Drosophila melanogaster: one gene and its partners. The protein of the gene in region 2 purifies or fractionates together with the protein of the main gene of each other region. This does not show direct contact. Each region holds a gene or a part of one and is shown on either strand. Other genes may lie near its edges.

The links.
Region 1: the proteins of Spt6 (region 2) and Rrp46 purify together in Drosophila melanogaster (co-purification; one study listed by BioGRID). This does not show direct contact.
Region 3: the proteins of Spt6 (region 2) and Rrp42 purify together in Drosophila melanogaster (co-purification; one study listed by BioGRID). This does not show direct contact.

What each region holds. Positions count from the first base shown.
Region 1 is NT_033777.3:10,411,362-10,414,809, forward strand, and holds Rrp46 (Rrp46), read left to right. Parts: upstream 1-1,939; 5' UTR 1,940-2,011; coding exon 2,012-2,117; intron 2,118-2,182; coding exon 2,183-2,418; intron 2,419-2,476; coding exon 2,477-2,836; 3' UTR 2,837-2,871; downstream 2,872-3,448. Other genes in the region: Irp-1B (iron regulatory protein 1B), read right to left, coding at 1-206, 268-437, 1,259-1,351, 1,448-1,454; CG6345 (uncharacterized protein), read right to left, coding at 2,872-3,448.
Region 2 is NC_004354.4:6,266,240-6,269,993, forward strand, and holds the start of Spt6 (Spt6), read left to right. Parts: upstream 1-1,557; 5' UTR 1,558-1,667; coding exon 1,668-1,706; intron 1,707-1,867; coding exon 1,868-1,952; intron 1,953-2,527; coding exon 2,528-2,733; intron 2,734-2,885; coding exon 2,886-3,005; intron 3,006-3,074; coding exon 3,075-3,226; intron 3,227-3,291; coding exon 3,292-3,754. Other genes in the region: schlank, read right to left, coding at 168-352. UniProt on the Drosophila melanogaster protein: Histone H3-H4 chaperone that plays a role in maintenance of chromatin structure during RNA polymerase II transcription elongation.
Region 3 is NT_033778.4:16,012,940-16,016,604, reverse strand, and holds Rrp42 (Rrp42), read right to left. Parts: upstream 1,698-3,665; 5' UTR 1,628-1,697; coding exon 1,571-1,627; intron 1,514-1,570; coding exon 1,317-1,513; intron 1,266-1,316; coding exon 1,100-1,265; intron 1,046-1,099; coding exon 575-1,045; 3' UTR 555-574; downstream 1-554. Other genes in the region: EMC7 (ER membrane protein complex subunit 7), read left to right, coding at 1-80, 146-274, 341-466; Prosbeta1 (proteasome beta1 subunit), read left to right, coding at 1,909-1,953, 2,017-2,491, 2,560-2,714; CG8389 (uncharacterized protein), read right to left, coding at 3,069-3,665.

The DNA of each region.
Region 1 (3,448 bases), on a different chromosome or scaffold from region 2:
GTGAAGCGCTCCTTGTTGCGCTCAAATTCCAGTGACTGGTTCTTGGCCAAAGCATCAGGCGCACGGGCGAAGTCCACCTGGACCGAGTGATCGATGACCAAGTCGGCGGGGCAGATGGGATTGATTTTCTCCGGGTCGCCGCCCAGATCCAAAACAGCATCGCGCATAGCTGCAAAGTCCACCACAGCAGGAACTCCAGTAAAGTCCTAGTAGCAAGATATTATATAATTTAAATATTACTTTGCTAGATTGCCGTATGAAACTCACCTGCAGGATGACACGGGCCGGCTTGAAGGACACCTCCACATCGTTGGATCCCTGCTTGAGGGCGGGCGACCATCCCAGGATGCTCTGCACGTCCTTCTCTAGGATATGGAAGTTGTCGCAGTTGCGAACCGCCGACTCCAAGAGCACTCGGATCGAGTAGGGCAGTTGATCTACGCGTTGGAAATGTTAAGTGTTAATCAAAGTGTTTAGAATTTCATCACAGGTACAGTAAAGCCTCTTGGTGAGAGGACCTAAGACAATTTGCCGCACTAAACGTATGTATCTTTAAAAAACCTTTAAGTTGCACTTGTTGAATTAAAATTCACGAGTAGAGTAAAGAACCTCCCTTTTTCTATAACCGTCCACCTTAGTTAGTTTAAAGTGTGCTAGTCAGATAGCAGTCACTTCTTATCACAGGCACAATGATTACGTTTGTCCAGCACTTAATGCGATTCACAGGCGTCACTATATGGGAGGAGCCACCAAAGAAGCCCTCACCTCAGAACCCCGATTTCTGGACACGCGCGGTTCCAGTAAAAACATTCCACTGATCTTGAGATTTTTCGGAGTCATCGGACTACGACCCCAAATCAGCAGATCTGCGAAGTTTTAATTCGCTGATAAGTGAGCACGTAAAATTGGGAAATGGAAATCAAATTTCGGAGGCACACGATTCGTTATCACCGCTAGACGAGCCCCATTATGAGGCAATCTGGCGGTGATAACTTTCGCTTTCGGCGCAAGACAAGCCCGCCCATAGAAAACTATAGAAAATCCACTTAATGCTCCGGGAGCACCTTCTACTTGACATTGCCTGACTTGCAAATTGAGCTGTTCTTCTACGCTTCTTTTTCAATTCAGGGGTCAAACTCCAACTTCAACAGGTGCTTAATTAATCCCATTTTTGATATGCATGTTTAGCCTAGTTTATTGCGACCACGTAGACAGACACGCCCACTTTTAAAGCCTTCTTAAGACCACATCCACTTACCATATTTACTATCGATGGAGGCGAGGTCAAAGTACTTGTATGTTGTGCCGGCCTGGGAGAAAGTTTTCTCGAACTGGGCGAAGGGATTGGCGCCTGCGACGATACGAATGTGTTATATAAGCCACAGGATTCGGGGGACAGGGTATATGGTAGTCGAGGGAACTGCAAAGCTCCGGACTGGCAACCCACCTGACATCTTATTGGAACTCTTTACTGAACTTATTCCGGACGAGCAAAGCAAGAAACTGATTGGAGAAGCAGTTCGGATAGGAGCTGGCCAGCCTTCGCTGTCTATCGATAGCCAGCGATAGTTGCGTATATCGCCAGTCGGATCGACAGTGCATTTTATACATTATATATGGTGCATTATATTTTATAAAACGATAGCTTTATGTTCACTTCTCTTTTTCTAAAATGAGATTATAGTGTTCTGCGCTTGGTATGTTATTATCATATGTATTAAATGCAGTAATAACTATTCGGATATTTATGTAATACACCATCTTTTGAAAAGCCTGAAATTTGTGCAATTATCAGTAAACTAAATCGACGAAAATAATTGAAAGTTGTATAACATATGGTTCATTTTTAAAATGAAAACTCCACCCGCCAAACCTATCAGTAATCGACAGAGCTCGTGCAATCGCAACATCATATTGCACCGATATGTCGAGGGAAAATTGAAATCGTTATCGAAAATACGAGGCGATAGCACGCGCACGTTGTTTTCTTTGAATATTAGGAAAATATAATATGAATTTACCAGCGAAAATGGACGTGGAAAAGGATAAGCTTCGCCAGATGCACTGCGAATTCAATCCCTTGTCGCGTTGCGACGGATCCGTGATGTACAGCCAGGGTATAGCCGTGTTTTCAACTCTAGTACATGGCCAGAACCGGCTAACATGGTCTTGCCAATTTCAGGTGCTACAGGTCTCATAGGCGCAGTTCTCGGCCCCATCGAGGTGAAGACCCAAAACCTGAGCATAGATGGCAGCTACTTGGAGTGTAACTACCGACCAAAAGCGGGCCTGCCGCAGGTTACCGATCGGATTCGGGAGGCGGCCATTCGGGATGTGCTGGAACTGGCCCTCCTGTCGGAGGCTCATCCGCGCTCCAAGATGTCCGTGCAGATCCAGGAGCTGGAAGATCGTGGCAGTGTATGTTTTTGAATCTCCTTCATCTGTAATCCTTCTAACAATATATATATTCTATCAGATTGATGCCTGCGCCGTAAATTGCGCCTGCCTAGCCATGCTCATCGGAGGCCTGCCTTTAAAGTATAGCTTTGCGGCTGTCCACGCCATCATCAACGAGCAGGGCGAGTATGTGCTAGATCCGGACCAAAGTGAAACCCTCCACCAGCGCGCCAGTTTTACATTCGCCTTTGATTCTGTAGAAGGAAACCTTTTGTTGATCCAGACAAAGGGCTCTTTCAAAATAGCCCAGTTCAATGATATTGAGTGCCTATGCCTGGCTGCCAGTGCCGAGATCTTTCAGTTCTATCGCAACCAGGTTGCAAAGTATCATGGCAGGAGTGAGGCGACGGCTAAGAAGGAGGACGTCAATGAGACGTGATGTTAAAACAACTGAAACTACGATTAAAGCTCATTTTATTGTATTAACTGTCTGCTGTGAAAGTCGGTTATGTTGCTCAGCTCGAGGGGCGTGCCCTTCAGCACCTGTGAGTTGGATTCCTCAATGCGGACGGCCAAAAAGTCACCTACTCCAAACGATTTTCTGGCTGTGGAATCTCCAGATATGGGTACATATATAGAAGGAACTATGACCTTGATATTGGCATCATTCCGACCGAACCAGTGAGCATCGGACCTCTTGCTTTTCCCTTCTATAAGTATGAGCTGCTCCTGGCCTTCCATTTTACGATGTAGCTGTGTAGCTCCCTCTCGGAAAACCTGGACCATGCGCTGCAGTCGCTCATTCTTCACGTTTATGGGCACATCATCTTTGTAGCGCCGATGGGCAGTGGTCTTTTCTCGCATGCTGTAGGCGAACAAGTAGGCCACGTTGTACTGCACTTGTTGGATAAGAGATACAGTGTCTTGGAACTCCTCTTCCGTTTCACCGCAAAAGCCGCAGATAAAATCGCTGGACAGCCCCACGTTGGGCAAAAACTGTCTGATGTGCTGCACAAGTTCCAGATAAGCCTCTCTGCTGTAACCACGTCGC
Region 2 (3,754 bases):
TAAGGAGAGCGAGAAAGAGCGGGAGAGAGCGAGGGAAAGCCGTATGAATGGGGTTAGAGAAAGAGGCGGAATGGAATCATGTTGCCGGGAATGGCGAGAATGGAAAGGGAGTCAGTCAGTTGGTTGGGAAGAGTGCGGAGGGGGGAAAATGGACGTGGAAAACTTACCGCTCCAGCGTGTAGCGGACCAGCATGACAACAGCGGCGAATGGAATGGGCCATATGAGGTCCTTGTAGTTGGCGTGCACCACATCTGGACGCGAGCCGGGCGCAATGTCCGCCCAGGTTGTGTTCGGCGGCAGCCAAATGTGCGTACTCCAGAATACATTGCTGAACTCATTCAATATGTCCATGTTGCTGCTTCAGTTGCCGCTTCTTAATTTCTCAATTGTTTGTTTTCTTTTTCTTGGTTTTCCTTTGCTTAGCTTTCCAGTTTTTCCTTGGCGTTTGTTGTCACATATGTATATGCTTTGCTTTTTCTAAATATTCGCAATTGTATGAGCCTGTGTTATTGTGCCTTGCGAACAACAGCAACAATAACAGCAAGAACAACAATAAGCGACAACAACAGCAACAAGAACAACAACAGGAGCACCGGACACTAATGCACACTCACAGCGTAGCACAAACACACACTGGCAAAAAAACAAAAACCGCCGAATCGAATTGTTGTTGTCTTGTCTCGTTAACTTGCGCTTATGGCTTTTCTAATTCTACTTCTATTTCTATTTGGATTTCGATTTAATTCGTTTTTGGAAATGCTACCTTTGCCGTTTGTTTGGGAGCGTAAATGAAGTGAAGTTCCCTGACAATCTGTTCTCGACCAAAGCAATAGACTTTCTGAATTTCGGCTCGGTGTCGAGTCGGCCGCCGCTCGTTTCGTCCACTTAAACTTTCAGGATGAACGAAAAAAAATACTAATAGTATTTCCTCGTCGAGCAACAACAATACAGTGTGCCCAGAGACGGCGGAGCAGTAAATGTAACTGCAGCGCGACAAGTGTGCCCGTGTACGGGAAGACAAGGAAAGCCAGCAAAAATAAGGCTTTAGAAGCTACACAAAATACCAAATGCACTAATAATTTTAAAGAACTTTTAATTCACAAGTTTGCGAATTTTGTTTATTGCTTATTATTATTATTGTTCATTACGTTTACCACTAGTTTTTGAGAGAAATTATTATGCGCTACAATTAGTGTTGGTTTTTCGGTAAGAACTCATAAAAGTCAACTATGTAAAGGAAGTATGCCATGGACTATAATGGAAATTAGCAAACTTCATCGTTGAGACCAAAGGGCATATGTGTGTTCCCATATAGGGGAATTTTCCCGCTTATCAATACAAGTATGTGTGCAAAATTCTTGTCCAATTGTTGTCAGCACATGAAAACGGATAACTAACCATAGGTTATAGGAAGGATCCACTGTAGTTCTGCAATGCAAACCAGGGCTGGCAGCGAGAACACTGCTGTAAGCTAACAGCAAACTGTACTGTAAACAGTAGAAAACTGTTCGTGGTATTTAGTATTTAGCTAGTATTTTAATACCAACTTTTGTGCAATGCGATGAGAAATAAAGAAGAAGAGAAGAGGAAGAAACGCTCACAAACTCTTCGTTTCTCTGCATTAATACGCACTTTATTATTAAGTTAAGCTTTATTCCATTATATTATGGCCGAATTTCTGGACTCCGAGGCCGAGGAATCGGAGGTAGGTGTCTGCGGAACCCCAAAAACACTATTTCTAGAAGCGCGTACCGTTCGTGCGTCGTTATGTGTGCGGTGTGCGTTGCGCCTTGCGTGTGTGTACATACATATGTGCCTACATATATATTGAATTAACCAAATGGCTTTTCTTCGTTTTTCCCGCAGGAGGAGGAAGAATTGGACGTCAACGAGCGCAAGAGACTCAAGAAACTGAAGGCGGCCGTCTCCGATAGTAGCGAAGAAGAAGAAGGTGAGTTTTTCCACTGGAGCCGCTGAAGGCGCGTACAAATACATACATACATACATACGTATGTGGCGATCTCTGGCGGGTTTTTCACCCCTCTCACCATCCATCGATCGGAACAGTCCATATCCGGGATAAAGGCACCTATAACTGGCCAATGCCACACGCTTGCAACTTCTTTTGTTTACAACTTTGAGGTTAGGTCTTGTGTTTTTACCGTGCTACCGTGGCCATCAAATATCAGCATCAGCAGTAGCAATAGCAGCAGCAACAACAACAAACAGCTGCGCTCGTTCCAGTAAATAAAACAAGTGCGGCGAATTGGAAGAACGCGGCGTATTCCAAGAAATTGCAAATCAAAGCAGGGAGGGAGAATTAGTTCAATAGATGGAGCTGGAATAATCAATGGTTAGGGCTTATCTATATCGAAATCTAGGTAATTTATCAAATGTAGGTCTTTCTCAAAACCGGGTGAATTACTTAAATTTAAGCTTTAAAAACAGTTTTCAGTTGCATATGTATATCTGCGGCTACAATGAAGGTAAAAGGTAAACCGATATTCTTATTGCCCTATTCCGTAGACGACGAGGAACGGCTGCGCGAAGAGCTCAAAGATCTGATCGACGACAATCCCATCGAGGAGGACGATGGCAGTGGTTACGATTCCGATGGCGTCGGCAGCGGCAAGAAGCGCAAAAAGCACGAGGACGACGATCTGGACGATCGACTGGAGGACGACGACTACGATCTTATCGAGGAGAATCTGGGCGTCAAAGTCGAGAGACGGGTAGGTGTTCCCTTCAGGGAAGAACTATGTACTTTTTAAACTCCAATTGTGGCTCCAATTTCGAAGCTTAACTAACAAAGAATAACATAGCTGAGGGATTGGGGCTTCTATCTCCTCAAATATATTGTTTGAAATTATGTTTTCCCTTGTAGAAGCGGTTCAAGCGTCTGCGTCGCATCCACGACAACGAAAGCGATGGCGAGGAGCAGCACGTGGACGAGGGTCTGGTGCGTGAGCAGATTGCCGAGCAGTTGTTCGACGAGAACGATGAGGTATGCCACTAGTAATCCCTGACCACCAATTAATGCACAGTGTCCAACTGATTGCCCCTGATCCTACAGAGCATTGGTCATCGCAGCGAGCGCAGTCACAGGGAGGCGGACGACTACGACGACGTGGATACGGAGTCGGACGCAGATGACTTCATTGTGGACGATAATGGGCGTCCCATAGCCGAGAAGAAGAAGAAACGGCGCCCCATCTTTACAGACGCGTAAGTATACAAACTATAATAAAGTTTAGATATCAATAGATACGATTAATATAATCCAACCACAGATCACTTCAAGAGGGTCAGGACATCTTTGGCGTAGACTTCGACTATGACGACTTCTCAAAGTACGAGGAAGACGACTACGAAGATGACTCGGAAGGAGATGAGTACGATGAGGATCTGGGCGTCGGCGATGATACGCGCGTCAAGAAGAAGAAAGCGCTCAAAAAGAAGGTGGTCAAGAAGACAATCTTCGACATATACGAGCCCAGCGAGCTCAAGCGTGGTCATTTCACCGATATGGACAACGAGATTCGCAAGACAGACATCCCAGAAAGAATGCAGCTGCGAGAGGTGCCCGTAACCCCGGTGCCCGAGGGATCAGACGAGCTGGACCTCGAGGCTGAATGGATCTACAAATATGCCTTCTGCAAGCACACTGTTTCGGAACAGGAAAAGCCGGAGAGCCGCGAGAAAATGCGCAAACCACCGACAACCGTTAACAAGATTAAGCAGACGCTAGAATTT
Region 3 (3,665 bases), on a different chromosome or scaffold from region 2:
AAATTATGCAGGTGGCATATCCCCTGCGCGTGAAGCCACTGATGCCCTTTAAATACTTCCAGACCAGAGAGCAGTGGAAGGTGCATCATTATATTGCCACCAACGGAAGAATCACAAAACTAACTTTTGCTCTTGACCCACACAGATCACCGACTTCTTGTTCAGCCCCATGGTCCTAATGATGGTCTTGCCTCTGCTCCTTATGCTGGTGCTGCCCAAGATGATCAACGATCCCGAGACAAAGAAGGAGATCGACAATCTGCAGTTCCCAAAGGTAAGCCGTGAGGATCATGTATAGCACAGCACTATAGTATTATATGAATCATGCTCTGCTCCACAGATGGGCAACGATATGCCCGAGATCAGCGAAATGCTGACTTCACTGCTAACGGGCAAGCAGCCCGAGCCCAAGGAGAAGAAGCCTGCTCCGGCCGTCAGGCAGGCGAAGAAGCGCAAGGACCAGTAGTAGTTGGCCACCAGATAGCTTTTAGTATTAAGCTTAATCGGAGCGCCGAGCTCCAAGTCAGAGTCAGATCGTTTAAATAGTAAATTTTCATTACAAGACTTTGCCGCTTTATTTAAGAAATCCTACTATTTGCGGTCGCTTGAGTCCGACGCGCTGCTGCTCCAGATTTAGCATTTTAGTGAGCAGCCGGTCCAGATGCTCGCCAATGGCCAGACCCAGCTCCAGACAGTTGCGCATGGTGTCCCGGTGCATGGCTCCGCCGCCGGTCAAGTGTGTACCCGAAAGGAATGCCTGTCCATTCCGCATGGAAACTGACACAACCATGCTCACTGTGCTGCAGACTTCCTCCTCCGCCGAAGGATCCACCAGGACATAATCACCGATCTTGCAAACTGTGACCAACAGCGGAACCGTCTCGATGCCGATGCGGGTGCAGTCATACGGATTGTCCGATATGATGAGGTCTGTGATGCCGGCATCCAACATGGTGGCTGTCACCCGGGGCAGCTTTGTGTTGAACAGAGCCGCTTTGGCGGCCAGCGACACTGCGTCGTGTAGATTGCCGCCACACTCCAGAATCTGCGAGAACAGGGATTAGCATTTTCGGTATAATTAAGCACACTAGAGTCTAACCAGGATGTCTATGTACAGCTTCCAGCACTGCTGACCCGGAATGAGGCACAACGTGCGGTAGTTGAAGGCCAATGGCGATTCGTAGGCGTTCTGCAGGGAGAGAATAAGTTCTTGGGCCAGATCCGAGCCCCCGCGTCCTTCAAACTCCGGCGTGGCATTAGCAGAGCTGAAATATATATGTTATGGCATATTCTTCGAACTTCAGTTGCATCATTACCAATCCACAAAAAATTCCAGTTTACCAAACTCGGGCGTCAGCGGGTTGGGTACATCAATCTCGGTTTTGACGCCCACCAGTATGTCTGTGTTCGCCAGCCGAAGGCGAGCGGATCCACTGGCATTGCTAACCAGTCCAGTTTCCAGGTCCATGGGCCGGTAATCTCGTCGTGAACGTCCATCGCAACGAAAGTCATCCTGGAAACGCATAGTTTAAGGTACAGACTATATTTCTTGCATAACCGTTTAACACACCTCCACGCCGTGTAGAATATATGTTTTTTCAGCTTCGCTCAGTGCAACGTATGCCATTTTAGACTTAATTCAAGAAAACAAATATTCAAAACAAATTCAACATGTGCAATGAACCCACATCGATACTATCGATATACCGCAAAGCAGGGCTGCTGGCACTTCGTTTTTACTTTACTGAACTGTTGTCAGTGCGAAAGGTGTATGTTTTCATTTGAAGCATTTCATTTCACATCGCCATCTGGTAACACTTATCCAAAACAAGCCAGTCATTTCGTGTTCGTGCGGCGTTTCAACAAATATCAATTGTAAATTGAATTGTAACAAATTTAAAGATCAATATGCAGCCCGACTTTGATTTCACCGACACACCGGTCAGCACTGGTGTAAGTATGAAGAGCATCAGCCACATAACTTCGTACTAAGAGCACAATCCTACCTATTTGCAGACCACCATTATGGCAGTGGAGTTCGATGGCGGAGTGGTCATTGGAGCCGATTCGCGCACCAGCTCGGGCGCCTATGTTGCCAATCGGGTCACCGACAAGCTGACCCGCATCACGGACAAAGTGTACTGCTGCCGCAGTGGCTCGGCCGCCGACACCCAGGCCATTGCCGACATTGTGGCCTACTCGCTGAACTATCACGAGAATCAGACCAACAAGGATGCTCTGGTGTTCGAGGCCGCCTCAGAGTTCCGTAATTACTGCTACAGCTACCGCGAGTCCCTGCTTGCCGGCATCATTGTGGCTGGGTGGGATGAGCAGCGCGGCGGCCAGGTGTACAGCATCCCGTTGGGCGGCATGCTGACCCGCGAGTCCTGCACCATCGGCGGATCGGGATCTAGTTTTATCTACGGATTTGTTAGGGAGCACTACCGCCCCAATATGGCGCTGGAGGATTGCGTTACATTCGTCAAGAAGGGTAGGTAATCCCAAAAAAACCAAAACAGTTTCCCTTCAATCGAATCCCATTTAAACCTCCTCCAACAGCTGTCCAGCACGCTATCTACCACGATGGCAGCTCCGGTGGTGTGGTGCGCATTGGCATCATCACCAAGGATGGCATCGAGCGACGCATCTTCTACAACACAGAATCGGGCGCATCGGCTGTTTCCAGCACTCCCAGCTTCATTTCCTCGGAATAAATAGTATACCTACCCAAGTAAGATCGATCAGAGAAAGAGTTGCAAACTCGTCTCATGCTAATAAACCTGGTTTTTGTAATATGCATACTTTAATTTGTATTTTGGCTCTTATGGCAGTACAAAAGTTAGGTCTAGGGGCTAAAATGGTAATAAATAATCGAAAACCTAAACCTAAGATGCATAGTCATACAGATAGTGCTGTTCCTGACACTGGTCCTTCCTCACAACTCAGATAACTACTGCGGCGAGAGTGGAATGTTCCCTACGGGGAAGTCATTTCATCGCCTATCACATGACAGTCAATACCGATATCCTTCGCTTAAACTCTTATCCAGTCAGGTAGTGACCAGAGATTTAGGAGTTGAGTTTGGCCACTTCAGCTGCGTCTATAGACTGCGTCTCCATGGACTTGTTGGTGGCACATCGCTGCCTGCGGTGGCGGTACAATATCTCCGGTGTCCAAACAAGAACCACCACCAGCAGAATGACTCCTTGAGCATAAAGGCAGATTAGGTAGGAGTCGGCGTAGTCTCGCACCCATCCCAGCAGCTGGCCCACTGTGATAACAATAACGCCCTTGGACATCATGCTCAGACCCAGACCGCCGGCCAGTTTTTCCGAGCGGCAATGCGCCGATATGGTGAGATTGTTGTTGATTACAGTGGCTGATTTCATCATGCCTGTCAACACAGACATGGTGATGATCACGGGCAGCGTTTGATTCTCGGCAAGCACACAGCGAGCGACAAAGAGTCCAACAATGCCGATCAGGAACACTACGCGATAGGGTATTCTAAGGTGATCTGTGACGATGGGCAGCAGCAAACGGAACACAATGTCGGCGCCAGCCACAAGGGACATGCAGAAGGCCACCATTTGGCTGTTAAGTTGTGCCGTTTGTCCAAGAAAACCAGGAAAGATCATCGTGAAGTTTATGGTGGCCGTATAGAC